Lepisosteus oculatus: one gene and its partners. The protein of the gene in region 1 interacts with the protein of each later gene in a pairwise test. Links are inferred from orthologs where the notes say so. Each region holds a gene or a part of one and is shown in the gene's direction. Other genes may lie near its edges. The genes, in order: nme7, neflb, krt18a.1 and zbtb48.

Region 1 (7,683 bases):
CATTTCTTGATCTACCACAAGAACTATTTTATCAGCTGTTATTGTTGTTGTAACAAAACAATCCCTCAGTATAATAGTCACAAATATAAAGGGTCTTTTGTGATTGCTCACTTAAAGGTACAGGGGCTGCCATCTGAAAATCATGGTTCATTTTCAACAGAAAAAATCTTGTGCAGATATATTACAGTTATGGAACACACCAGGAAAGTGTGATTTTGGTTAAGAAAAAGATTCAAATAAATCACATTTTCACCTAGGATAATGACAGTGGATGGACCACAAATGTCCTACAGAGTTCACACTGCAACACGCCTGCCAAGAACCTTCCCAGAGAAACCTCTTTCTCTTCCTCTTTCTCTGAGCCATGGCTAACTTGCAGTGTGATTAAATCTGGTGCACATTACTCTTATACTTATTTACTTATTATTACTTATTTCATTAAAATAAAATGCACATTACTCTTTCAACAGAGTGTTTCAGTAGACAAACAAATACATTAAAAACAAGAATTAGCTTGTATTACCTCTATACTCATTCCCTCCTCGTAAGATCCCGTGTACTCAGAGCCATCTGACAGAAATGCTCCATAGGGTCCAACAGAGCCAGCAACTAGTAGCACCTTTTCTTCAGAGGATCAGAAACCGTGTTTTCTTAAACCAGTAGCTTAATCAATACATCACAAGGATTATATTCCAGACATCGGATATATGTTGAACTATGGAAAATATAGATGTCATTTCTTACAAAAAGAAGCTGCATTTACCTGGCTGAAGACAGTTCACCTTGAACTCCTGCACTGTCTCTCTAGCTATCTGAACACCTGACATCAGTAGCTGAATTGCTTCTTCTGAAGTCAGACCCAAGTGCTTGATAAATCCTTCCACGCTTGCCTGATATGTAGCTGTTGTGACAACATCAGAACCACTACAAAGAAATCTACAGAACAATAAAAGTATTACTGCTTTTTGTCAGCACTACCTACAGTATGTCAGTGGTAGCCAACCCACATCCTGGAGGGAAATAAACAAGTATGTTTTATGGGTCATCCTTAAATCATCAGTTTCTTGACACTTGATAGTATTTTATCACTGAATCAGATAGTTTCAAGATCATCAGAAAAGAAAACACCTGTAGCTCTCCAGTATAACAGTTGGCCACTCGTGTCTTAATTGAACAAATTCCATTGCTTAATTGATCAAACTGTTCACATCTCTCGTGTCCCATGTTTTTGCAAATTAATGATTTAAGGGTGACCTTTAAGAGCTGCTGGATAGTGGCTCTCCAAGACCAGGGTTTGCCTGTAGTACCCTTGATCTACCCACTGTATATGTTCATTCAATGTATATCACATGGTATGCTTTAAATGAAAGAGTACTATATCCAGAAAAAAACTTGTTCTTATGAATATACAGAAACAATAAACATCACACCTTTACCACTATTTTTGATGTATTTGCACATTTTATGTAAAACTTAAAATAATAAAATACAGTGTGTGTATGAAGTGAAAACTCTGGGCTAGGTTTTACCTGTAATGGGCATCTTTCACAGCCTGGGGGTTAGTGTGCAGAATCCTAGCACTCCACAGTGGATCCCCCTGGAAAAGTGAAACATTATAGTATTTGTCTAGCATTACTGTGCCTTACTGCCTTTCATCTTATTTTACATATATTACAAATGACTGTGGGCTCTCAAACATCATGAAAATAAATGGATATATTTCTAACTGTATGAGTATAATAAATTGATACAGTACATAAGAACAAATTGCTTGAGGTGTAAAACATGTAAAATATACAGAAGCAATAAACCAAAGTTACCTAGTCCAGGTTTACTGTATAAATCATTAATGTACCTGTATCTTTACACCAGCTGCTTCCAGCTCTGTTGCCAATCCACCATCCAGAATGACTATTTTGCCATCCATGTTCATTTTTCTTTCTGAAAAAAACATTTTTAAAACAGCTTTAGCAGATCTATGTCTCAAAGATGGTTACTGAATATAAATATTTCGCTATAAAATGTCACATAACAACATGCAGGTATTCAACTTCAGGGTTTCTAAATATAACCTAAAATTAATGACATGAAATGACAGAAAGCCTTGTAGCACCCGATTCTGACCATGTATCAATCAAGAGTTCTGGTGAAACAGATTATGACTCAAATGTACAATTAGTCATATTATCTGGAATAGTTCAGTGTTTTAGCACCACCTAGACACGTAGAACAGGGTTAAAAAAACTTTTTACAGAGGAGAGATGCAGTTGTATCTGGTAAAATAAACAAGTAATGCTTTCAGAGATATTTTACCTTGTAAAAATGTCATGATGTGTATAAATCTAACAACCACTTTAATATTCACACAATATTATGTGTGAAATGCATTAATCTGGCCTGTTATGTGTATTCTGCAGACTGGTTATTACAAAATAATATATAAAAAAAAGTATAGAAAAAATGTTACAAATTTGGAATTAAGCACAAAATAACGAACCTTGTGAAATGACTAAGTCACCAGGTTGTCACAAACCCCAGGTCTCACCATGGTCGAGAGAGTTCCCACAAATTGTGTCATGTAGCAGCCCTTCATGCTCGCTAGTCACTGTATTGACTCACGTAATGCGATGTACGAGAAAATAAGTACAGGTTGTGGAGCAGAGATTTCACCACAGCAATATTACAACTGTGATCTGCACGCAGAGTTAAGAAGTCCCATTTATCCGCAAAACCGTTTCCAAGTCACGAGCAATATTTCTATTGGATTCACAAGCCTACTTGTTCACAATGTAGTGGAGCCGCTTTCCCTCACCGTATGTTTTTTGTTGCTTAGTCTTGAATCGCAGAATATGGCGCTGTGCTTACCTGGAAAGGTCGTACCTTTTGTGATGTAAATTGAAGGTTTTACAACTTACTGTGTACATTTGAATTATTGGCGCTCGTTCTTTCAAAAAACCGAAATATCAAAATAGCGTTGCAGTTCTTTAAGAATCTGTGGAACTGCTCTTTAACCTGCAAATAGGCAGAATCGCATGAAAGCCTAACTGTATTGTGATTTGAGAAAACAGTACATTTGTACAAGTGTATTGCGTATTGAGAAACTTCAGGTCACATTTTGATTTTACATCTTAAGCTTTAAGAAAACTTGAACTTAAAGCATGTGAACTAATGCTTGCGGCTCCCATAACGACGTACCTTTCCCCCAGTTCCTCTGACTCTGTCCTCGGTCGTATTGTAACTGTCTCTGCAAGGAAAACACATGCCTTTTTATTTCCACAGCAACTCTACTATACTCGAACAATATAAAAAGAGAAAACAAAACAGAGCTGTCCAAAAACACACTTCTACATCTATTGTACTGTATTTAAATTAACATAACAATGACATACTAAGGACTGTATTTACATGAACAGAAACATTATATACTAAGGCTGCCATCTGGTCGGTTTTTAAGCGAGAATACTGCAAAGAATGGAACCTATATACCTTTCGGCTGATTTTATTAAAGCCGGCCAAGAGTTCAAAAGGGCAGGCTAAACATACACAGACGGAACAAGATCTTTGCATGATCGTTTTATTAAATGTAAGGGTTTAATTCTGACAGCTCTCCTTTAAGACAGTGATATAAGGTTTCATTTAAAGTGTCAAATACTTTAATTAATAAAATATATTATATAATACATGAAGATTACATACATTGAAGACTCACAGTTACGTATTAAGAAAAGAAAACAAAGATGACGACAAACGCGTCACAACAACACACACCGCCTTGTTCATAATAACCTTTAAGGTCATAGAAATACTTCCTCCCTTGACAAGCGTCACCTCGCAATTTGTTAGTTAGATACTATAAATCAAACAATCAAATGTTTTCATTTATGAAAATAAAAGCTATATATATATACTTTACTTTTAGCTTTTGTTGCTATTTTTTTTCGCCAGCGCGCGCGTGTTTCCGTACGCTTCGTTACATTGTTGCTATGGTGATGAACCCGGACAGATGCCGCGGGTTGACTGACTAAACGAGCGAGCACAGACCCTTCAGGATGGTGAGCAATATTTTGTTTTGTTTTTTTATCTGTTGCATGGATTTTATATTTCATTTAACCCATTATATATATTTATGTTTGTTAACGTTTAAGGTCGAATTGTAATTGTAAGTTATACTGGAAAAGGAGGTTTTGATCTCTTGTTTTCTTCACTTTCCTGTATTTTTAAATCACTTAAGAAAACGACTTTCAAAAAGCACATAAGGGAATAAACTGGGATACCTATATCATAGCTAAATTCGGGAAGCTCTTTTTTTGTTAGCCAAGACGTCTATAGCTTATCAAAGTATGTTTATTGAGACACTTAAAAATGGCTCGTAATTTGGTAATGTTTCTGATGTTGACTATGATATCTTCTCAGTTTTGTCCCGAAGCATTTATTTGTAGCTCCAGCTCCTGCATCACTCTGTTTTGTAGTTTTGCAGTGTGTAGCGATCACAAGGTTTATAATTTAGCCTATTCTTACTCTTAAAGAACAGTTTGTGACGTTGCGTCTCTTTATAGCTATAGTGCCTCTTTGTGCACACTGTTGGTGGTTACATGATATATAACGAGGGTACAATAGTTATAAAAATAGTTGCATGTCAGTAGACGCAGTAGTCGTGCCTCATAAACAAGGCACTAGCGACTGTAATGTTTACTTCTACAGCACTTGGATACACAGCATTCATAATGAAGTGGTAAAGAGCTTCCTACTGTCGTCGTAAACAGATTTTGTTCTGAAGGGACATTCAGCATTGTTTCACAACAGTTGTTAACAGATCTACAGATCTGCAGCGGCAGTGTATTAATTGGGGACGAATCCCTGAGGTATCCACGTACACGTATGTAAATAACTTCGTCTCGTATTCTGTATGATCATAACCGAATAAAGTCAGGTCCTGCCGTTAAGATCCAGCGGAGGACGACGCATTCCTGCAGGATGCAAGGCTTTTCAGAGGTCAGATATTTGCCTTATGATGAAAATCAAACACTCACATCAGATTCATTGCGATTGCTCTAAATGCGAGGACGTCGAGTCTCATTGTGTTACGAGAGTGACGTTACACCGTGCTCTTGAAAAGCGTGGCTTTCCCTGAAAATTGACGAGAAAAACTAAATAAGTGCTTACATCCCCCGCAGATGCTTTTACGTTTGGCCGTAGTCCTCGAAGGTGATAACCTGCCTTGAAGTATCCGTGTTTTTACTGCTTCCTTAGCTCACGCTCATCCTTAGTTCAGCTGTACCGCTAGGTGTCACATTTGCTCCTTTTACTAATTTTTGAAAAGCAAAATTTCAATGTTTTGTTTTTCCTGCTCACTAAAGGGCAAAGCTCTGAATAATGACTAGTAAACAGATGTTGACTATGATCCTTTTTATATACCTGCAGAACAAAGAACAGCAGGTATACCAAAGCATTTACCCGGTTATCATAGTCAATGAACGTCCTGGAAACAAGTAAATCTAAAATGTTATTTTGGGGGGGGTCATGCTGTGCTCTGCTTTTGTACAGTTCGGGGGGAAGTAGTCAGCCAGAAACAAATGACAGTATGCAAATTAATTCTGTGAACTACATCATTCATGGTTTGAAGACGTGCATGGAAGCCAAGGGCTTCCCAAGAGTCATGGGCTTGAACATAGATTCGGAAAGCGACATCATGGTTAAAGCTGCGTTAAGTTTTAGTCCACAGCAGTTAATAGTTAATTGCATGACATTCCTCTCATACATGTTACAAGTGAGTTGCTTGTAACATTTTGGAGAACTGAATCCTATTGCGTTTAACCAACATATTTAACATGGTTCGGCCACATCTTCCGAACATCCAAACCTCATGTGTGATTTTATCATCCTTCTGTAAGTGCTGTTACTTAACCTGCTATCTCACATTTGTGTGTGTCATTAGAGTGGCATTCTGGTTTATTGAGGTTGGCTTTCTCGTGTCAGATTCTCCACAATTTGATTACCTGTAAAAAGCCCAAGTATTCTTCTACTTGTCAAACACGTTTTTTTGTTTTTTTTTTTTTATCTTGGCATGAGGTATGACTGTGGGATAAAATGTATCCATACAGATTGGAAATTGTTGATTGAAAAGGCACGGGCAATTTCAGTCCACATTCTGAAAGTTCTTCTGTAACTGCAGAGATGGTAGTGATTATAACAAAAGGGATTCTTTTCAGTCTCCACTGATGTTCCATGTGCAATTTATATGAAGGTACAGCAATAAGAAACACTGATGTCAAGCTGGTCTCCATTTCAGGCACCTTTTAGTTCATGGAGCAAAATGATATAATAGTGCTTGAACACCGCAGGTCTGCCTGTCAAGCTGCTGATTTGGACTTTTTAGTTGATGTCTGATTTTTTTTTTGTTTTGTTTAATTTTAAATAATTTGAACGGATTTTTAAATAGAAACAATACTAGGTAGGGCATTCACACAAAATAATTGAAAATCATTAAAATTTCATGCACTTAGAGACAGCCACTTTTTGAGACCCTACAAATCAAATCTGCTGAGTTGTGACATCGGTGGTGCCTACAGCACGAGGCTGTTAGGAGAATAGCTTCTATGTCTACTGCTTGTGTTAAAGCACTTGCTTTTGACAGAATGATGCTGTTAAAAGCCAAGTGAGCTTTTTCTGGAGTCATTCCTAGAGTTATTAGAGCATTTGAGGAAAAATCTTCCTTACTGCGAACCATTTTTCACCAGTGTTTTCAGGATCTGCCCCCTGCCTGCTCGACCATAAATTAGGACTGTGTTTACTTCCTGATTTCCTAGTCAGCCACAGCTGCTGTTTCCCATGGGTGTGCACTGCCTGTGCAGCTTCTCTGTGGGAGCGCAGCACTGCACACCTTTTCTGTCTCATCTGCCTCTCGCTCGGCATGCGGGTTCACAATATTCCTCACAGATCCGCTGCTGGTTCCACCACAGTGGTAGATTATTACAGTATGACAGAGCCAAGCACGAGGGCGAAACACTCCATAACCCTTCCTGGCAGCCCTAGGAGATAAGCAGACTAGTTTGAAAGATTGAACAAGTTCACTATTACACATACTAATTCAGCAGACAGTGGCTAAATTTTGTGCTGCCTCTCCTGCTCCTGCACCTGCAGTCAGCCCCTCATCCTGGACCTGGATTTCCCTTGGATGAAGAGTCTTAACTCCCACTTTGCCAAGGACCCTGGACTTCTCTGTGCTTCAATACCAGTCCTCCTTAAAAGCACCGCACCTTTATAGCAGGGCACACCTCAGATCACCAACCTGCTGATAGAATGAAAAGCACAGATTCTTCCAGCAAGGTAAAAGTTCAGGGTCAGCCACAGCTTCAACCACTTTTGGAAACTTCTACCTCCCAGAAAGCACTCATCTGCCCACCCACTGAAGGCAGCTTTTCCAAAGAATCTTTCCACTGTCCAGCCCGCAGTGATTCCCGAGCTTCATGACTTCCCAATGCCTTCCCAAGAGCTACGCCTCTTGACATTTCTGTGCTGGATCCAGAGCTCAAAGTTCTGCCCTCTGTCAGTGGTGGAGGGGACAGTGAATGCGTAACAAGCCAGCTTTTCTCAGACGCCCTGCCTGACAGTGATGGTCCCTCTTACTGTCCAGACGAAGTTGCTTCACTTGGGGCCAGGAATCCCATCCACCTGGGCCTCTGG
Region 2 (7,852 bases), on another chromosome or scaffold:
CACTGCACTATGTGATGGGGCTAAGGAAATGTCTGACTGCGTCTCTGGTCGTCAAGCACTTGTACATGCTCATAATTAGATTGCACTTGTCTGTCATAATGTAATACTGCATTCCCACCACTAGTGGGCAGTATATACATGACTGCGAGTTATTCAGCGCTTTGCTTTTCTCTACATGGGTGGTATCAATAAAGCTTCAGCACTGAGCTAAAAGCACTGGATGTCTGACCAGCTATGGCACATTCAAGTTAAAATGGTTCCATTCTAATGAATTACTTTGAGCCGCAACATCTTTAGCTTGAGAATGACCATCCACCCTTCATTAACCGCTTAGTCCTGAAGTCTGGTTCAGGTTTTGTTCCTGGTGAGCCAAAGTGCTTAATTAGGAGGAGTTAGCTTTAGCTTTCTAACGCCCTGCTCATTGATCATGACAGGCTGCACAACCAGGCTTCCAAATCTGCAAGCTGAGTCCGAGACAGGGTGAAGCCCCCATCTAGAGGTCTGTGGGTGGACAGCAGGACCCAGCCTCAATGGGTTGGCAATCCATCCCAAGATGTGCAAACACATTTGCAATTAACCTAGGCAGCACGTCCTTAAATTGTGGGAGGAAACCTCAATGTTACTATAGAGTGACCATGCAAATACCACACACAATGCACCCCACGCCAGAATGGAACACAGGAGTTACAGAGCAGGAGCTAAGGCAAAAATGCTACCTGCCATGCCTCCATGCACAGGGGAACCTAACTGTGTCCAGTCAAATGTAGCCACGTCCAAGTCACGTGCTCCAAGGACTGACCTGCTGTAACGTACAGTATGTGATCCTTTTGACTGACGTGCCACCTTAGTTGAACTGATCTCTGCTTCGAAAGTGAGAAAGCTTCCAACACGTTTCATCAGTATTTCATTAGAACTAATTTAATTTGTAATTAAATTAACGGGGCGCTTGTTGAAAGACCTGGACTGGAACGGAGCAGAACAGAGGCAGTTGATTTACTAGCCTTTTCAATCCATTGTTTTCCATTCTGGGCATGTTGGCCCAGCCAGCTCTTAAGACAGCACAGCTGTTCAATAAGAAATGTGATTTCAGTAATCTAATAAATCAGATGATCGACCTAAAGACCCGCCCTGCTACAAATTCAATTAGAAATTCCGGTAATTGGGTGCCAGGGAGTAATGTAAAGCTATGTTTCATATTGAATCTTCGGTTTCAAGGGTCTCCAGCCCTAGTCCTGAACTCCAAAACTCTGCTTTTCCTTATACTCCAGGTCTCAATTTCTTGATTGAACCAATTATTGGCTTAATTAGTTCAATTAAGTTCAGTCTTAATTAATTCCTTCTGACTGAAGGTGCCTATAGAAGGAGAAAGGGGGCAGATACAAAATACCGCACATCAGTGAGTAACTACTGTATCTGCAAGACCACCCATCTCTTTAGAGACTGTGTCATTAAATTAAATCTGTGCCATTGTGATTTACAGCCCCTCTGTGATCCTGCTGTGATCTGTCTCTCTCTGCCCACTGGCCCCACAGCGTAATTCTGCTGTCTCCTCCCAGCTCATTAGCACAAGATCGATGTCGTAGCTCACAAGCACACTGCAGTAAACCAGTCCCCACACTCTCCACTGTGCAGCAATCTGCAAGGCAGAAGATGAGAGGGACTGGGGTTGGCTGGATTCCAGATTTTGATGGCCAGAGGACAATCACTCAAGAAAAAAAAAGCAGATTTAAGGGAACAGTACCTACCACTCATGGGATCTACACTTTCTGTGATTTTCATTACACTATCTTGCTACAGGAGCACTGCATGATTCTATCTCAACAAAGACCAACTTTTCCATGCTGACAGGCTGGGTAACAGTTCCAGCAAACTTAGCTTTGGAAATAAATTACACCAGAGGAAATGACTAGGGGAAGCCTGCTGTATTGCTAGTTCCTATACCTAGTTTAAAATTTTAAGATACTGTATACTCGCCAACAACTGGATTACAACAAGCAATGATGACAATTCACAGAAAGTTTTTTTCACTCAGTGATGATTAATGGGTTCTAAAAGTCCAGTCCAGAACATATTGAGTTATGTTATCACTTTCATGGCTAAGAATGATTTACAAATTTTAAATTCACAGTAACATTTAAAGTTTAAATTTAAGTTTAGTGTCTATAAGTAAACTGGGGCCACTCGCTCACACACATTCACTCAGATCTTAAATCAATTATTTTCCCTAGGCTTTACTAAATAGGAGAGAGAGGTACACACAGAGCAGCTGTCAAAGCGCTGAGCTTGAAGATGAGAGATGGAATTAAATCAGTTGAAAGAAAGATACCGAGAGGGAACTGTGTGGGGGCAGTGGAAGATCACTGAAACAGGCTTCCTACAAGAGACCAGCAAGAGCTAATCGACAGATAACACCACAGCGGCTTCTCTGCCTTGCTAATTGGTCCTTGATTTCTAAAGATGCTAACTGAGCCTAACTAATGTAATCCTGCAGTCATGAGATCGCTGATCAAACCCTGACTGAGCAGAATGACTCTCAGAGATATTGTCCTTGCTGAAAAGCAACATTTTCTCATTGATAGTGTAGCATCACATAAAACCGTATTAATTAAAATGTTTCTGCTTCTGTTTTCTTTAACTCTATAGGCCCTATTTAAATGTCCCCTGTTTTTACTCATTGTGACCCATCATGCTTTGCAAACAGTTATCAAATTTGATTCTACAGCCTAATGTTTCACATTTTTCACACATGCCAGTAATATCCCTCTCAGAAAATAACAAGGCCATAATTTTTTTTCTTTTAACGCACACTTGTAAAATACAATGTTAGAGATTAAGATTGTCTGATAGTCAGAAAGGAGATCTTAAACTGTGGGCAAATGGCCCTCTCCAGAATAAATGAATCACATGGTCATTTGTGGACTACAGGGAAAAACAGGCTCCTAGTGTGTTCATCTGGTAGAATAACACAATGCTCCTTCCCTCTGCATCTGAGGTGGCAAGAGGAACAACAGTGTTTCTGTACTGTACAAAAATCCTATTGGAAAGCCTGTTAGACCCACCAAACAACCAGGGCTTATCATAGAGGAATTATACATATACTATATATTAAAATATAATGACGGTTTCCAATGTACAGCAGTTTTATCCTTTATAGATTTTACCAGATGTACAGTACTCCAGTGAAGTGCACATATGTTTGCATGTATTTTTGATCTAAGATAATTCTAAATGCCTATGCAAATGTCCTGCTAATAAGGCAAGAAGCCAAAGTGATCCAGCACTTGCTACTGGTTCAAACAGAAGAGCTTTGAGTTTGTAAAACCTGAAATGGTTCAAGCGCCTGTGCAAAGAGAGATATTTTCCTCCCTGCCAAGGAGTTTAAAAACAGAATATTTCTGGGTAGGAATGAGGAAATAAGAGAAATTCAAAACTGCACTTTCTGCAATATATTGATCTTGAAATATTGTGTTCGTGCAGGCGCCAGCTAAAACATTTAACTAAGAACATTGCAATCACCGGACTGGTTGAAAAGATCCGGACTGACAGAGACAACTGGAAGATAAGCACAAAGTTCCTTCAAATCCCAAAGACCCACGATGGAAAGGTAACGTTTACCATCTCCTGGTGCTGGAAATGACACTTTAAAATTGCACACAAGCTATAAATATGACATAAGCCAGGAGCTATGCATTTATCCCCAGAGGTAGTCTGCAAACTATTAGGAGCAGTTTGCTAATCATTAGTGGACCTCAGTGATAAATGCCTTCTTTTAATAACCTCTGTTGATAGCTACACAATCGTCGGCACTGTCAATTACAAATGCTGATCTGAAGGGTGGCTGAGATGATCTAAGACTCCAGGGAGCAGAGGACTGTGCCTGAAAACGAATTGCACAGCTACAGCGGCTACTCAGTTACACTCCACCCCCCAATTTGACTGCGACACGTTCCCACCCAGACTGTAGACTCCCAGGTTTGAGCATCTAGCCTCCTGCGTCCGCCCTGAGACTGCTCGGTCTACACATCACCGCTACCTGCTGCTGTACTCTGCAGAGTGCAGCACAAGCCATCTGTTTAAGTACTTGGCTGTAGCCAAGACACTGCATCGTCTGCCGTAGTTACTATTACAATAGTGAGACACTGAAGTGAATGGGCCCCAGATTCTCAATTTCACATTTCACACACTGACCTGAGTCTCCTGCTCCTGCAGTCTATACCTAAATACTGTTATTGTTATTACAGGACAATGATACCTGCCCTTACTGTTCTACAATCTATAAATGGAGTGTTATCTAGAACAGGCTTGGGCTGTAAATGCTGTTATATAAGTACAATATCCCGAGCTATGATAAAGACAGGTTCATGTTTTAGAAATTTCCATTCAGTGTCTTAATGTCTTTGTTCCTGCGGCTTAAAAACTGGCACGCGCCTCCAGAGCCATTTCACTTTGCTTAGTGACAACTTCGTAGCGCTTGCAATCCCAGAGTGACAGCTCGGGACATGGCCCTAATTTACATGACTGCACAGTCGTGACATGATTTCAAGAAAGCAATACAGCTGAAATGCATGAATGTGGCTTCGCACGAGCCTCACACTCATCCTCTCATGCTTGTGAGACTCCCAAAGAGCCAAAGTAAAAGTCGGATCACAGGAGAAGACTTGAATTCAAATTCCCTTGCAGGAAGGAAGGAAAAAAAGCCCCTTCCTTTTCTCCTTTGCTCTCCCCCCTCCTTCTAATCCTCCCTCCTCTCCAGGCAGAAACAGAGTCCTGCCTCTCTCTCTCTCTCTCCATCTGCAAGCTAAGCTTTGGCTGAGAGCTCAGCTATTGATCGCCGCTGTCAGTGGAAAAGTGCTTGCGTCAGAGCCCTGCCAGGGGTATAAAGGCAGCACCGCCGCGGTAACAGCACTGAGTGCACACGGCAACCGAACTCCCCTGCCCTCCCGCCGCCATGACTTCCGTTGGCTACGACCCCTACTTCACCTCCTACAAGCGCCGATATGTGGAGAGCAGCCCCAGGGTGGTGCACATCTCCGGGGTGCGCAGCGCAGGATACGGGGGCGCCCGCTCGGTCTACTCCAGCCACTCGGCTCCGCTGTCCACCTCGGTGGGCACAGCCCGCCACCGCCCCTATGGCCTCTCCGCCTCCTCCGCCTCCTCTCTCCTCATGGCGGCGGACTTCGACCTGAGCCAGGCCACGCAGGTGGGGAGCGAGTTCAAGACCGTCCGCACCCAGGAGAAAGCCCAGCTGCAGGAGCTGAACGACCGCTTCGCCAGCTTCATCGAGCGCGTGCACGAGCTGGAGCAGCAGAACAAGGTGCTGGAGGCTGAGCTGCTGGTGCTCCGGCAGAAGCACGTGGAGCCCTCCCGGCTCCAGGCGCTGTACGAGCACGAGATCCGGGAGCTGCGGGCCGCCGTGGAAGAGGCGCGGGGCGAGAAGCAGGCGGCGCAGAACGAGCGCGACGGCCTGGAGGATGCCCTGCGGGGCCTGCAGAGCCGCTACGAGGAGGAAGTGCTGAGCCGCGAGGAAGCGGAGGGACGGCTGATGGAGACCCGCAAGGTGGCAGACGAGGCTGCCCTCGGCCGAGCCGAGCTGGAGAAGCGGGCCGAGACGCTGCTGGACGAGATCGCCTTCCTGAAGCGGGTGCACGAGGAGGAGATCGCCGAGCTGCAGGCGCAGGTGCAGTACGCCCAGATCTCCGTGGAGATGGAGGTGGCCAAGCCCGACCTGTCTGCTGCCCTCCGCGACATCCGCTCCCAGTACGAGAAGCTGGCCGCACGCAACATGCAGGCCGCCGAGGACTGGTTCAAGAGCAAGTTCACCGTGCTGACCGAGACGGCGGCCCGCAACACCGACGCTGTGCGCAACGCCAAGGACGAGGTGGGCGAATACCGGCGCCAGCTCAAGGCTCGCAGCCTGGAGATCGAGGCGTGCCGGGGCATGAACGAGGCCCTGGAGAAACAGCTGCAGGATCTGGAGGAGAAGCAGAATGCTGACATCGCCGCTCTTCAGGTCAGTGTTTGTAGTGCAAGTGGAGGGTATAACTTCCATATACAACTTTTACTGTCATTTCTTCCATGGTTAAGTTGTATATACTTTATATATCCACATAATCTCTCCAATTTCTAAAACAGATCAGTAATCTGATCTTTGGGATCAGGCTAGAATTCTATCTAGATTTTTTTATCTTAGCCTTTGCCTGCCTTTAATGCAAGTTTTTGTAACCAATACGATAGGCACAAAAACAGAGGAAGATTGCATTGTATTTGACCGTTTCTCTGTCTGGTCAGCCAGGGGAATGAAACTTCATGGCATCTACTCAATGGAGAGTTAGTAACTGCAGTATCCGTCTCTCTACTGTCGTGATCAATAAGAGTTAAAACCGACTATATCCCAAACTGAAATGGCAGATGTCAGAGAAACAGAACAGCTGCAGAGAAAGGGTTAATTGGGATTGCTCCACACTTTATGTTTCTTGTTCTTTGTTACTGAGAAGAAAAGTGGACCAGGGCCAGAGACACATTAGCGAGACCAGGAAAAGAAAAATCTCTCAGCCGTTCCAGAGAGGTACTAGAGATGTCTACAGACTTTTGCTGAGACACTCAGTTCTGTATTTAGTTTCACATTAAATCCATCTGACGGTTTATGGTTCATCTGCGATAGATGGACTAGAAAATCTCCAAACATCTAGAGAGTTCTTTGAGAAGTTTGTACTGCACATTGCACTTCTGCAGAAGCAGTAGCAGGCTGTCTTCATACTGCCCAGAGTCAATTGTACAGCCCTCTGATAAAAAGATCACTCACAGCACACGGTGCTATTGTTGATGACAGCTGAAAAAAGAGAGAGAGCAGAGACTTTTTTGCTTACCGGAGATGTGCGGTGCTGTGAGAGGAGCTTCCCTTATAATCTTAATAATATTTTTTTTATTCAGCACACGATTGCAGTAGCTGAACAGGAGCGGAGCTTCTTCTTTTCGTGAGACAGGTTTGAGTGCTTTCAATTGTGCCTAGCACATTGTCGAGTGAGCTTTGCATGTCTTCCACCAGGAGAATGCTGCAGGCAGGGACAGCTTCCTCTGCGGTGTTGCGGACGCCCGGGGCTCACAGCACACTAAAATGAATTGGTTACTGGAGAGCAAGCCTGCAGAGTGACAGGTCTTCTGCAGTCGAAATACAAAGCCATTGACAAAACACAGGAAAAGGAAAAAGTGGAGGAGTTGAGAGCAAAGCCTGTCCATCCTTAATGCTGTATGTACAGGACACTAAAGAACTAATGATAGTTACTGAGCAGATGCTCTAATTCCAATTAACTTGCACAGGATAGGATGTGATAAAAACATCAACTACCTGCTGAGTGACACTCTCTAGGCAATCTCTTTTACATACCACCCCAGTGGTGGACTCTGGCAGGCTTGGAGCTTAAGCCATGACCTTCCTGGTTCTGATACAGCCCTATACCTCCACCACTGGCCCCTACTGCCAATTCTGCAAATCCTGTACAGGGAGAAAGCGACACAGGAAAAAATCAAAATGCACACTCTTGGCACTTTTCATGAGCGCTGCTGGCATTTCCCAGAACACCATCCATCAGTGTCTCTTTCCCTAGGGGGATCTGCTCTGCTAATCCTTGAGGTGGCAGGATCCCAAAGCTCCTCATGGCTTGCCTGCAGTATGGCGATCTGTATTCTTTCCTGTTATTATTATGGTCCATTTGAATGCTGCCAACAAATGTGATTTAAAGCCGAGAAAATGCCAGCACAGCGATTGAACAGTCAGTCTGAAAATGGATGCAGTCCCCAATTTGAGATCTGTCCTGGCAGTTGTAGCATTTTATTCGTTTTCAACGGGCATTGC
Region 3 (6,855 bases), on another chromosome or scaffold:
ATATTTATTGTGTCCCACCAGCTGTTTCACAGGTGGTCTGTTGCTCTTGTTCACTTGATAGCCCCTGTTAAATGAAAACAGGTCATTAATCCCCCTAACCGTCCGTACAGTTGAACAATGAGGTGTGTTCATTTAATGGTGCATGCAGTGCAGTGAGTCCATACACTCCTCATGCTGATCTCATCTCTTCATCATCACATACCCAGTATTTACCAGATGGATGTGGGTTTCACCGTGTGAGCTGTGGTTTTAATGGGAGGAAAGAAAGTACAAAAATGAAAGTCGAAAGCTGGCACAGAGTCAAAAGAGCTGAGTGTCGAATAGATGAAGTCATACATTCATGTGAAAAATGAGCAATAAAAGATGACATTTCTGGAGGGGACATTTGTCTGCCGCATGCAGGTGTTTTCAACGTGAGTTCCAGCTCAGTTTCTCCTTTTTCATTTACCACTGACATATCAGCCTTGTTGTCTTTGTCAACTTCCCCCACCCACCCTGGCACAGCTCATCTTCAGTCTGTTTATACTGAACACCTGGGAAGTATGATTGCAATGTTATGAGGAGGGCTAGCAGCCTCCAGAGTTGTGTAATCAGAGCTGTGCGGGCTAGCGTGCCGGGATGCTTGAGCAGTTTTCTTTTGTTCTGCTCACTGAGGATCCCAGCCCTAGTGCAGACATGCTCATAACGAGAATTATGACTCCGACCACAAGAAGAGTCTGGGATTTTTTTTTCCAACTGGGTCTGAAAGGAATTGCGTTTTCCCAGTTTGAAATGGGGTCCGGACTCCATTCAGTGGAGTGGTGCACGCAGTGGTTGCAGGCTTTCCAGTGGTCTGGACAGGAAGGAATCAAAGGAGACTGGTGGTGCCATAAACATAACTGCTGGATTGTGTCTGAAACCTTTCCGCGGCAGTTCAATTTGCTTGTTAGTGTCTCAGGGGGTTAACTGAGCTTCTCTTTCTTTTATCTTTTTTCCCCCTTGTCTCTCAAAGTGAATTAGCCCGTTTTCCTTTACCAAAAAACAGTACTGTCCTGAAAGGGTTTAATCATGGGAAAAACTCTTAAAACTCCGCCTTTTACACTGGTATCACAGTGTAATAATTGCTGAATTGCTATAGTAAAAACTGTAACATGATATTACCCAAGTTATAATAACACAAGGGTAATCTTTTAAAATGGCTTCCCCTCCTTAATTTTTGTTTGGTGGTATTAATAAAAATAATTCAAATTGTTGATGCTGTTGTGCAGTTCATTAATCCCTGCATTTACCATCGTAACACTGAAAGGAAATACTGTAGAAGTCAGATATCAGGCGTTGTTCAAGCCTGAGGAGCAGGAGGACAGCTTCTGTAAACAGTGATTATCTGTTGACCCTACTGTATGTGCACGTGTACACGGGGTAACAATAACATTCCTCGAGGTCTGAGGTCTTACAATGTGCAGAATGAATTGTTTCAGCCTGCAGCTGTGAATGAGAGCTCTGTGTGACTGGCTGGACAAGTTACCAGCTTCCCTCCCTGCTGTAGGAATACCAAAGATGATTCTGTGATGAAAGGTTTTTCAACCATGCTTGAAATGTCCCTTTCTGTTCAATAACCTTAGAAGATAGTGGCAACACGAGAGCACTGTTGAATGAACAAATTAACTGACATGCCATTCCCAAAAACACACACCATGGTCCTGGGAGGGGTGTCCAGCTGTTTGTCTTACAGCGATCCCTCTGGATGGGTGTTTCAGGGTGCACTTCAAGGGTGGGTGCCAGGACCTTACAATGTGTGTGATAAAGCAAAATAATTCATAGTGATCTGAAATAAGTGAAAATAAAAAAATGTTCAGGTGCAGGTGCAATTTGCACCTTAATTGATTTTAGTCAAATTCTGGAATGCCTAAGTAATTCTGCTAATTTTTCAGTGAAATAATTTGCTTAACATTTTTAGTCAAATGTCTTAAACACCACCACCATCCTTCTGATACAAAAGCATCAAAAATGAACAGCAACACTTTTTGGACATCTTTAATTTGTTCACTTTAATGGATCGCGGCTGTTAGTAGTTTGTTAGTATTTACAGAATAGTAACAGGTGAAGATGAAATTGTAAATTGCTTAAGTCTCAGAAGCACTGGATAGTCAACTAAGACAAAGTAAACTAAGACAAATTATTCTTTACTTATTCAGTAACCTAAGACTAAGCCTTTAGACAAGCCTGTGTTTTATTGTGGTGTAATGGGGGGCTGTCTTGAAACAGGAATGCACTCCAAGCCGAGACCCTGTCCTCCCACCCCCTCCTCAAACTGGCTGTCTGAGTAATTCCAGTTCAGCAAGGGGGGAGTTCTGCTCCTGTTTTCTTCCAGCCCATCCCTCTGATCTCATCGCCAGCACAATCGCAAAATTCCTTTCTACACTCCATGGGCTTCTTCCACCTCTGCTCTGATCGTGAGGCGCAGGGTTGAGTCGCAGAGACGATCGAGGGGGGGACAGACAGGGGCAGATAAAAAGAGTGCCCCTGACTCTGGGAGTTTGAAGCTTGAAAGCAGCTGTTCAGCCATGTTGCAACATCTGGCTGTGGCGCTTTGTACGGATGCATCCCTGCCCAGAACTCCCACCCCATCCCTTCGGAACAGTGCACTACTGCCTGGGAGCACGTCAGCTCCCTGCTCAAACCAATTCCATGGAAAAACATGAGGAGGCTTTTGTCCAAACTTTCGCTTTCCTTTCATGATGTATTATCGTTAGGCACTCCTGTGCCTGATCAAATCTTTCGAGATGCTCTTGCGTGTTGAAAAATGAGATAGGGCTTTGGCCTCCGGCGTTGGTCCTTATGCTTACCTTCCCTCTGGATTTGTTGTTTCAAGCAGGGACACAGGCCCGCGCATGTCTGTGCTCCTGAAAGAAACTGTGGAAAAGTGCGTAGCCCCATTTTCAGAATAGGAAGGTTTCAGTGATGGTTTTGATAACTGCAGGTTTGCACCATTTACTTGCCGATGGTGGCCTCACCGCTTCACAACCAAAATCATTTAATGTATCATTTTCTAGAAAATAAACATGAAATGCAGTTTGGAATGTGTTTTTTTTCCCTATCACTTTATTAACTCCTTACAATTTCTTGCATTAGAAATTATCTTTTCACATACCCCAGCTTGCTCTCCATGAGACACACAGACAGGGTCTGCCATTGTACAGTGCCCCTAGAGCAGTTGGGGTTAAGGGGCCTTGATCAGGAGCCCAACAGAGCAGGAATCCTCTGCCAGCTGTGGGATTTGAGCCAGCAACCTTCCAGCCACAGGTGCAGATCCTTAGCCACAGAGCCACCGCTCTGCCCCACCCCAAGATCGGTGATTTAAACTATCTACTTAACCAAGCACTAGTGTGGTTAAATGAGTGTTCAATAAGCACTGATTAAGAAGCAGCGCTATCATTGTTTATTAGGAAACTAATATATAACTGTTCTTCAGAACAGGCTGTAATCAGGGCGGTAATCACAAAGGGAGATCTACAGTCCTGCGGCAACTCACAGCCAAAAGGGCACATTTCTTATGTGCAAAGGTTGAGAATGGGACGTGAAAGAGTGGGAGTCTGAAACTGGGCTTTTTCTCGGCACGGCCTTCGCGTAACAGGACACTAAGCGGATTTGGAGGCTCTTTTGTCCAGCAGGGCGGAGAGGCTCTTGTTTCTGGTCCTGGCTCTCCTTCACTCCCTCTCATACTCCCTTACTTACTGGCCACTTTTTTGTGAGGTTAATTTCACAATCTCCCTTCTCCCTTCAGGGCTGGATAGGAGAGCAGGAGGGAGGGAAGGGGTGGTGCTAAGCCTGCCTTGGAGGTGGAGATTTGAGCGCTGAGTATAAGGCAGGCAGCTTAGAAAGCCCCTGCTCTGTGTCCCTGTGCCTCAGCTACTCCAGGTCACTCTCCTGTGTTTCTTTCTCTCTGCCAGCCAAGACTCCCCCTTCTCTCGCCATGAGTTTCAGCTCCAGCTCCTACTCCATGCGGCCGGCCGGCTCCATCCGCACCACGCAGATGATGGTCAAGCGCTCGGTGCCCCTCAGCAGCTCCGCCAGCGTCTACGGGGGCGCCGGGGGCCGGGGGTCTCGCATCTCCCTGGGGGGCTCCTCGGGATTCGGCGGGGGGTTCCAGAGCGGGGGCTCCTTCTCCTCCTCGGTGTCGATGAGCGGCTCCGGGGTGATCACCAACGAGAAGGAGACCATGCAGCATCTGAACGACCGCCTGGCCTCCTACCTGGAGACGGTCAGGAACCTGGAGCAGGCCAACAGCAAGCTGGAGCTGCAGATCCGGGAGGCCCTGGAGAAGAGGGGGCCTGCCGCCCGCGACTACAGCAACTACGACAACATCCTGGATGACCTGCGCAAGAAGGTGGGTGGGCGCCGCGGTGTGGGGGGCGGGGAGTGGGGTGAGGATGCTGTGCGGGGTTGGAACGGAGGTGGGCTCTCAGGGTTCACACAAGCAAGGTGAGCTCTCCCTTAACCTGCTCTGACTCCTCCACTCCACACTGATCCAGGGGCTGCAATCTAACCAACCACCACCTGATCATTTATCTTGAAATCTACCCTGTTGTGCTTTTGCACGTGAAAATAAAAGAGAATGTATCGGTGTATTAGTGCATTGTATCTCAAGAAGATCAAAGCAGAAAATCACATGACCAAGGTTTAGCTACATAAAAAATCTGGACAGGAAGAGAACCGGTAAGTCTTCAGCCTCCCTTAAGAATAGGAAGTCTTGAATCTACAGAGAAGGTCCAAATCTGAAAGATTCACTGTCTCATTATTTCAGGGCCAGTGTCCCCTCTGTCCTCTTGAAACGAAAAGAGTCAGGCCACAAACAATTCTGCTTTTGTCTTCATGTGCTTTATAGATCCTTGAGCTGCAGCATGTCTAGACTCTGCAGATTGTTCTGCAAATTTTTAAAATTTGTCAATTTTAAAAAGAACTGTTATCCTGAGAGACAGTCATGAGGTAGACAGAGCCTAGTTGGTGGTTAATTCATTGGAACAAAAAAAAAGAGTGTTTTTGCACTGTTTTATCTCTGCTGTAAACTCGGTGAATCTGGATACAGTGAGAGAACAATAAAGCCTTTAAAAGCGGATAAAGTTTCAAAGTGCAGGAAGTGCAGGTCTGCGTGTTTGAAAGTAAACAATGGTTTTAAGTAGAGGTGATGATTAACAGTCAATACCCCCCTCCCCACAAATTATTGTGTTTTCACACTTGGGTGGGTCCAGTGCTGTAGAAGGGGGAAACTTATATTACAGTGTATTCGCACCGCAATATATTTTCAAAGACAAACATCATCAATCATTTGAATTTATACTCACAATTACTTTTCCTAAGGAAGGTTCAGGGGTTTACTTTGCAATTAGGGCTCCACAGTTGGTTGGTTCACTTGCAAATGTACAGTCTCCCAACAGACAGATCACAAGATAAAATATGTGATAATAGCACGTCCACATACCTAACAGTCATTTTGAATGACATTTATGGAGATTAAATATCTTTATTATTAAAGCTTGCGTAATCCTGCCAGACTTGAGCTCACACTTTCAGTTCATGTGCAAGTCTGTAGGACTGGGAAAAGTGAACTTAGCTTCCAGTATCTTTTTTAGAGCATTCTGGTGGGTTAATAACTAACTGGAGCAGGCTTGCGGACCACTTAAGATTCCTTTTTGGTGTTAGCCTTTGTAAGGCACTGTGTACGATACCATCTAAAATATAGCTAGTTAAAAATATAACCTAAGGATATGTAAAAGAAAATTTAGGAGGCTGGCATTTTGCTCTCTCTCTCTTTGCATATTCACTCTTGTCTTTTTTTACCTTTGCAGTTGGTTTATGTAGAGACCGTACAGTATAACACTGGCCTTTTGGCTGGGCTGTGAAGAAAGCTCATTAATGTTTAACTTTGCAGTTTTGCCATCAGAGGCCAACTGTGAAAGAAGGGGCCAGCGGTCAGCAGAAAGGAGCTCACTTTACCTGCCTGCAGCCCACAGGGAGCATCTGGGAGCTCAAGCTGTAGTATTGGTCTCATCTGACTGGCTTGAATCTGGCCCTGTTGGGTACATGTTAAAGTGTGACACATCTTCCACCTGACTCTGTACCTCACACCTGTGGCCTCTCTCTCCTGTAGATGTACAGAGCCTTGTAGTAGTGTCCATCCCAGCTCCGACAATAACTGGGAAGGCTGGATTTCATAAAAACAATACACAGGCGCAGAATCCCTCATGTAATTTGAGCAATGCATTCCATGAGCTGGGACCAGGAAGCTCAGTGACTAAAAGAGACCTGGCTCACTGCAATCTAGGCACACCTTAGACCAATATCAGTGACCTGTGAACCACAATCCAAACAAACAATCCTTCTCCAGGACTGGGAGCCCTGTTAAAGTCTTAAATGGAGGATGACTTGGCTCACTGAGACTCACTCCTTTTGTCTCAGATCTGTCTCTGTTACATACAAACTACCACACAAATGTACTGACAGCACAAGTTAACACACATATCGCCAACACTAACCTACTACTGCTCAGATCTTGTTGGCTTCGCCCATGAAGTATACATAGTGTCACTCTTCTGCTCTAGCATTCAGTGATTCATATAAGATTTACTGAAGTCCGGGAGCACGGAGTCCTGGATTGTCCATAGGGATTTGCATTCACTAAAAGGGGTTTGATTTTTAAAAATCATAAGACTAAGCAAACTATTCAGTTCAGCTGTTTACAACCCAGAATATTCCATCACACTGCATGACTTCACTGCAGGGCCATGCTATATGTGCAGTGATGCTGAAGAAGACAAGCGTTCAAACCTTCTCAGCTACTGTATATTGAGTCTTTGAGCAAGCGCCAGGGACTGACGT
Region 4 (7,084 bases), on another chromosome or scaffold:
ACATGCGAGAGAGGCAGGAGAGGAGAGGGAATGAAAACCCGTGACTTTAAGCAAGAAAGCCGCATTATCGGATAAGCCTGCAGAGGACAGATCCGGTACCTGCAATGTGCAGCAATAACTCTACTGCATCCACCGTGTGACATGAAGAGAAAAAAGAGAAGACATAGGGGATAGAACATAAACTGTAAGGCCTGTGAAAGGCATTTTGTTTATTTTACATACTACGTGTTAACAGCATTATTACGCTGCTAGTTTTAATGCGTCTCATTTGCTGCCGCTGGCAAATCGGTGTTTATTGGTAAAGTAGAATATTGGCCTGAACCTCTAGAATCTCCAGTATCCCTCAGTTATGATGGGGGGGGGTCTCCCCACAACACAGACTGTAGACACAGGGTAAAAGAGGGTGAGGCAGTGGACCTGGGATTCCTGAATTTTACAGGCCAGATCCCCGCTGCTTGTAAAATCACACAGAGAAGTGCCAACTCCCAGGAACGTGAAAAGCACGTCTGCGTGGGATGGGCCCGTGCTGCTGGAGCTGACCTGCACGGCAATGCGAGAGATGGGAGCTCCTACAGTCCGTTCTTCACTGCCCCCCCACCCGGAAACGCACAGCTGCAGGGCGGCACGGCGACTGGCACGTCATCCGAAACAGCTGTACCGAACATGTTGTACCGGGAAGGCAGAAGTGTTGTTCCCCTCACCGAAGTGTCCGTCCATCCGTTCTCTAACCTCTCTATCCAATACAGGATCACTGGGGGAGCTGGAGCCTACCCCAGCAAGCAAAGGGGTGCAAGTCTATGAATGAATCTATGAATTGGCTTCATCACTCTGCTCTCCTCCCCACTGAGAGCTGGTATGTGGGGAGCGTTCTGGCGCACTATGGCTGCCGTCGCATCATCCAGGTAGATGCTGCACACTGGTGGTGGTGGAGGGGATCCCCATTACCTGTAAAGCGCTTTGAGTGTCCAGAAAAGCGCTATATAAGTGTAAGTGTAAGTAAGTAAGTCGGGGTACATCCTGGAGGGGGTGCCAATCTATCACAGGGCACACCCAGCCATGCTCATGCTCACACCAGGGCCAGCTTTCCCTGAAGCCAATAAACCTGCCTAGCGTGTCTGTGGACTGTGGGAGGACACCGGAGCACCTGGAGGAAACCCACTCAAACACGGGGAGAACATACAAACTCCACGCAGACAGCACCCCGGGGACTGAACCCAGGGCGCACACAAACACACACACCTTTTGCGTGTGCAATTTTCCCAGAAGTCAGTTAACCCGCCTGGACAGTTCAAGGGTTCCTGTTTGATTCCAGCTCCTGTCCCTGTTTGTGTGGTGTCTGCATGTTGTCCCAGGCTGTGGCTGGGGAACTGGAGAGGACGTTTTAATTGCTTACTCTAATTACGGGGTTGTACAGAACCAAAATTAAGACTGTATAGAAACAAAATCAATGGTCCAAATGCTTCCTTTCATTTGTCTCCTAATCTGAAGTCAATGAAATCTGGTCTTTTTTGTTTTTAAAGATTGTATGCCCCAAGGAATGTGATAGCTAACTGTTAAATACGTGTTTAAATGCTACGGTCTGACTGTCACTAATACTTCAAACGTCTTTTGTTTTTGCAAGAAGCTAAAAAAAAACAATAATTATCAAAAACAAACTAAAAAAGCTGCATAATTCGTTGAGGTTAATATAAAGGTCCTTGCGCATGTTATGCATTTGGATTTAATTTCTGGATTCTTGATGCCACTGAAGACCACTGGAGCAGATAAATTCCCTTGAAGGAAAATAAACTGGAAGAACGTGATAACTGTATGATCGATTTCAAAATCTCGCATTATTCATGCAGAGGCTATGGTAAGTCTTTTGTCGGAAAGGCTCAGAGGATTTAGACGAGGAATAAACAGGACGCTACCGAACCTGTGTCTACACTTAAACACTGCTGTTTGTAAAAGCCGCTGTACAACATGTGATTCAATATGTACGCGTTGGCTCACCTATGCTTATGCCCACCACGACTACATAGCGATTTCTAAATAGAACCATTCACACTGCACAGAATATCACAAATAATCTCGCTTAAATAATCGCTGGTAACATAATATTGTTATATGTCTGATTTTGTCTTTATTTCCAGCGACGTTCATCAGCATACAAAACCCCTCTGGAATATGAATTACCGTTCACTCCCATCTGTATTGCCTCTTAGCCCATCTCCACCCACACAAATAATACGTATGGTAAAACGTACCTGTGTAAACCCCACAAAAAGAGTTATTCGCGCTTATCCACCGCTTAACAGCTTTTAGTCGTCGTATTTTTGTAGCCTACAGCCGCAAAATAAAAGCCGCACGTCTCCATGTGTAACAACAGCCGCCACAGCAACAAGCTTCCTTGGCCAACCAAGTCATTCCAGGAGTTACACTTTCACAATTCATTGCATCGGGAATAGGCATATTTGAGACTTCAATCGTCTAAGAACAGTTTTCATATTCACATACATGAAAATTAAAATAGTCCTGGAAAATAAATTTAATTTAATTTAAATGGACAGCGAAATTGTTGTATTAAGCATATAAATACATTTTCCTCCTTGAGAAAACATAAGCTATAAAATGATGGACAGCTACAAACCTTCCCGAAGTTTTTCCGGCCTTCGTTTCTGCGTTGGTGCCCTCTGTTGGTTAGGATATAGTACAGCGCTTCCGTTTTCGCAATATGTAAACGACAGTGTTGAGAGAACACAGTACTTTATTGATCTGATCATTTGAATTAATGAGATAATTTTAAAATTGTGGCTTTCTTATTCGCGCACAGGACAACCTGTGTCAATCAATTGCCAGTGTAACACGTGGGTAAGATAAAATAAACTCCTTCAGTCCTAATAGTTTTTCGCCCCGTTGGAAAATTACACTAAAGTATAGTGAACTCCAAATACATACACACCATTGTTTGAACTATTACAGAAATATATTGCGGTTTGTTGGGTGAAGCCTGCTCCTGTTTTTCATACAGCTCATATTTACCACACTGTAGCTTAATGTGGAGGTCCTCAGACCTACTGTTGGACCAGTAGGTGGCGCCCTTCCTTCTGGAGCATAACATCCCATTCGGTCATTCTATGGTGTGAACCCCCATCTCCCTGGCTGAATTACACTGTGGGGTGGCACAATACAGCCTTCCCACAGCTCCCCCTTAGTTCTAGTGAGGAAGCGGCTCCTCACTTTTCCACCTGAGTCACTGCTGCACTTCCTCACACCAGACTGCTTTCATTAAACCAGTTTGCAAACTACAAGCCGAGGTCACGCCCAGAGGAGCAAAGCACACCGTTTCCCTTCTGGTCCAGTGGCCATCTGACGATTTTTACACACCACTAAAGTTGAAGTAATGACACGTTTTTCTTAAAGTTGAGGGAAAGCTAGTGTGTTAGTGGGGCCAGCAGGGGGCGCTGCCCCTGCGGTCTATGTGGGTCCTAATGCCCCAGTATAGTGACGGGGACACTACGCTGTAAAAAGACGCCGTCCTTCAGATGGGGTGTAAAACTGAGGTCCTGACTCTCTAAAAATCCCAGGGCGTTTCTTGAAAAGATTAGGGGTGTAACCCCGACATCCTGTCCAAATTTCCCCCTGGCCTCTACCAATCATGGCCTCCTAATAATCCCCATCTCTGAACTGGCTTCATCACTCTGTTCTCCTCCCCAATGTTAGCAGGTGTGTGGGGAGCGCACTTGTGCACTATGGCTGCCATCGCATCATCCAGCTGGGGCTACACACTGGTGGTGGTGGAGGGGATCCCCATTACCTGTTAAGCACTTTGAGTGTCCAGAAAAGCGCTATATAAGTGTAAGCAATTATTATTATGTCTGTGCTCCCTCTAGATAGTCTCTGAGAATTCCCAAGGCTGGCCAGTTAAAAAAAAACAACCCTTACCCATATAAACCTTCACATATATATCAGATTCCGTTTTGAAAACTGGTTTTCTGTATAAAATAGACATGAAGAGAAACTGCGCCCCACACTGCAATTGACAATCTTCCTGGTGAAGTTTTAGCCACGCTAGTACGTCATATCCGGTCTCTTCTCCAACATGGCCTCCTGTAAGGTAGAAAAAAAGTATTTCGAGCCCATTTGTTTTTTCCCCTAAAAGTACCATTCGAAATAGCATGAGCCTGATCCCATTCTCTCAGCCTGAAACAAAGTACTTCCCCTCCATCCTCAAATAAGGTAAGAAGCACTTTCGTCGGCGGTTTCTGTCGTACCAATGGCACGTTAGGGACCGTCTTTAAAAACATGCCTTCCGTCGTAAACGTTGAGCTAAGGGTGAGTTGGTACTCATTCTGCTAAGAAGGAAACCGAAAAAGTGAGTCATGCTGTCATGGTTTTGCGTATTACAGCATTGGGACTTTCAGAGGAGATAAATCACCAACGTCTTGCTCCGCTCGTCAGAAATATTAAAATGCTGCTGACGCCTACCCCGGTGCAGTAGGGGTACAATGTGTTACTTTAATGTACTTTGTCTAACGTTTTGGAGAACAGTACTTTGATCCGCCCTGTCCCTTACTTGTCAAATGCAGTACCCCCTGTAGCTGTACAGTAAAAAGAAACGCAAACTTTCCCAGCCCCATGCGTCTCATAATGGACAGGGGCGTTTCGATGTTTTTAAACAAATCGAATTAAACTAATTAAAAGGGTTTGTTGACGATGTTGAAATCTCTTCACCACAGGTTCATGAACGGTATACAGTGATTCAAAAAGACCTAGAACACGTACTGGGTCAGAAACCCAGGCACCAGAGGTGACCTAAGCGAGTGCGTTTTACAGTTTTTATTGTCACACAATATTTCCCCCTCGAAAACCTGTTCCAGTACTGCGACCTTAACATGGCCTAACGATAACAAATTCCTATCGTGTTTCTGGAGCCTTAGACACGAGAGAAGTCTCCTCATCCATGCCCAGCTGAATACATTTAACAAGAAGGCGTTGTTCATGCACCCATGTGTAAGGCTAGGCTGTCATTCCATCATTTACGCCAATCACATGTATACCGTTAGTTACGCAGGTAAGATTAGGCAATTCCACGGGCTTTGAAGCTGTTGACAGGCCGTCCGTGTCTGCTCTGTGCTTAAAAGGCTCTGCGGCGGAAGATGGCAGCGCTGGAACACAGACATGCCCAGCTGGTGTTGTCCTCCCTGAACCAGCAGAGGGCGCTGGGTAGCTTCTGCGACGCCACGCTGAGCGCGGTGGATGGAGAGGTGTTCCGGGCCCACCGCAGCGTGCTGGCCTGCTTCAGCCAGCTCTTCCGTGACTCCTACTCTGCCACCCCCTTGGTGGAGGTCTCCCTGCCAGAGGAGTGCCCCTCCGAGGGCCTGGGGCTGCTCCTGGACTTCATCTACACCGGGGAGATGAAGCTCAACGCTGGCACCTTGGACAAAGTGCGGCAAGCTGCTCTCAGCCTGTCAGTGCCCCACGCCCTAGACCTTTGCCAGGAGTTCAGCCAGGGTGACCAGCGCCCGGCCAGCCCGCTAGAGAAGTCGCTGGCCAGGGACGGCGACAGCCAGGAGTCTCCCAGGGGGGACCCCGAGGCACAAGGGGGCCCGGGCCAGGCCGAGACGCGGGGGATGCAGCCCAGGCCCCGGCCGGCGCCCAGACCCAAATGCAAGGCCGCCAACAGCGCCCCGCGGCCGCCGGCCCCCGCAACCACCACGACCCGCTCGGGCCGCAGGGTCAAGGGCCCCAGCCGCCTGCTGAGGGACAGCCCCCCCCCTCCTCCTGCCCCTCCCCTCCCCCCGCCGGCCCCCCGCCGAGCGGAGCCGCTGGCGGCGCAGGGAGAGGGGCGGCGCGGGCCGGACACAGGCGAGCGGAGCAGCAGCCCCTCCGCGAAGGGCACAGAGGTACCAGGGTCGAAACCAGGGGGGTTTGCCGCGTAGCCACCAGGGGGTGTACAGGAGGGGGGCATCAGGCCTGGGTGGTGTGCTCGCTCTGTGGCTGGAAGGTTGCCGGTTCGTATCAGAGGAATCCTACTCCGTTGGGCCCCTGAGCGAGGCCCTCAACCCCAGCTGCTCCAGGGGCGCCGTATAAATGGCCGACCCTGCGCTCTGACCCCCAGCTTCTCTCCCTGTCTGTGTGTCTCAGGGAGAGCAAGCTGGGGTCTGCGAAAAGACACATTCCTAATGCAATAAAGTGTATAGGGCCAATAAAGTGATCTCTAATCAGGCCGGGCCCGAGCCCAGGGGCAGGGAGTGCTTGAATTGAAAAGGGTGGGGTGTTGAAGTTCGATATTGTCTGTAAAAAAATTAAGTCCTACAACTGAAGTATGTTTTTGTTCTGTTAATCCAAGAGGTTCCGTGCTGAAAAGAAAGGAGACGCGACGTTTCTGAATTAGGCTCCACAGCCGAAAAGTTGTGTCTCCTTTCTGCTCTTTCCGGCGTGGAATGAACCGGACGCAGCTCCCTGCCGGAAGTCCAATAATTCCCGCGCTCGCTCGAACACGAACCTGAGCTTTTAGTTAATAATAATTAATAATAATTGCTTACACTTCTATAGCTCTTTTCTGGACACTCCACTCAAAGCGCTTTAGAGGTAATGGGGATCCCCTCCACCACCACCAGTGTGCAGCCCCACCTGGATGATGCGACGGCAGCCATAGTGCACCAGAACGCTCCCCACACACCAGCTCTCAGTGGGGAGGAGAGCAGAGTAATGTAGCCAATTCATAGATTGTGGCTACGTTGTCTTTTCTTCCCCCGGTTCATGCAGATGAACAGCCGAGAAGCGGCTCTTTCCCCAGCCGGTCTCGTGGCGGGGTGCTTGACCGAGTTTCCTCTCGCGGCTGCAGGAGGGGAAGCCGCCGGAGCCCGCCCGCGAGGAAGACGAGGAAGAGGAGGAGGAGGAGGAGGGCGAGGGCGGGGGCCAGGAGGACACCGACGAAGACTACCTCCCTACCACCGCCACCCCCACTGCCGGCGCAGCGGGGCCCCGGGCCAAGCGCAGGGGCCGCGGGCGAGGGGGGGCGGTCAACAAGGAGAACGGCGAGGGGGCGGGGGCCGACGCCAAGAGGGGCTCCGTCCAGTGCCCCACCTGCCACAAGACC

The links.
Region 2: the proteins of nme7 (region 1) and neflb interact in binary tests that used the Homo sapiens proteins (3 or more experiments, as listed by UniProt). The two-hybrid records come from large-scale screens. The link is inferred for Lepisosteus oculatus from reciprocal best matches to the Homo sapiens genes NME7 and NEFL.
Region 3: the proteins of nme7 (region 1) and krt18a.1 interact in binary tests that used the Homo sapiens proteins (3 or more experiments, as listed by UniProt). The two-hybrid records come from large-scale screens. The link is inferred for Lepisosteus oculatus from reciprocal best matches to the Homo sapiens genes NME7 and KRT18.
Region 4: the proteins of nme7 (region 1) and zbtb48 interact in binary tests that used the Homo sapiens proteins (3 or more experiments, as listed by UniProt). The two-hybrid records come from large-scale screens. The link is inferred for Lepisosteus oculatus from reciprocal best matches to the Homo sapiens genes NME7 and ZBTB48.

The regions. Positions count from the first base shown.
Region 1 is NC_090710.1:23,185,847-23,193,529, forward strand, and holds the start of nme7 (nucleoside diphosphate kinase homolog 7), read left to right. Parts: upstream 1-4,676; 5' UTR 4,677-4,974; coding exon 4,975-4,992; intron 4,993-5,163; exon of another isoform or gene 5,164-5,187; intron 5,188-7,683. Other genes in the region: homocysteine S-methyltransferase, read right to left, coding at 524-624, 764-936, 1,530-1,597, 1,856-1,941, 3,196-3,244, 3,487-3,567. UniProt on the Homo sapiens protein: Possesses an intrinsic kinase activity. Displays 3'-5' exonuclease activity with a preference for single-stranded DNA. Does not seem to have nucleoside diphosphate kinase activity.
Region 2 is NC_090697.1:65,109,490-65,117,341, reverse strand, and holds the start of neflb (neurofilament light polypeptide), read left to right. Parts: upstream 1-4,847; 5' UTR 4,848-4,948; coding exon 4,949-6,010; intron 6,011-7,852. UniProt on the Homo sapiens protein: Neurofilaments usually contain three intermediate filament proteins: NEFL, NEFM, and NEFH which are involved in the maintenance of neuronal caliber.
Region 3 is NC_090696.1:17,462,090-17,468,944, forward strand, and holds the start of krt18a.1 (keratin, type I cytoskeletal 18), read left to right. Parts: upstream 1-3,851; 5' UTR 3,852-3,952; coding exon 3,953-4,366; intron 4,367-6,855. UniProt on the Homo sapiens protein: Involved in the uptake of thrombin-antithrombin complexes by hepatic cells. When phosphorylated, plays a role in filament reorganization. Involved in the delivery of mutated CFTR to the plasma membrane.
Region 4 is NC_090720.1:9,105,615-9,112,698, forward strand, and holds the start of zbtb48 (telomere zinc finger-associated protein), read left to right. Parts: upstream 1-4,070; 5' UTR 4,071-4,218; intron 4,219-5,123; 5' UTR 5,124-5,138; coding exon 5,139-5,885; intron 5,886-6,829; coding exon 6,830-7,084. UniProt on the Homo sapiens protein: Plays a critical role in transcriptional regulation and chromatin remodeling. Acts as a regulator of telomere length. Directly binds the telomeric double-stranded 5'-TTAGGG-3' repeat.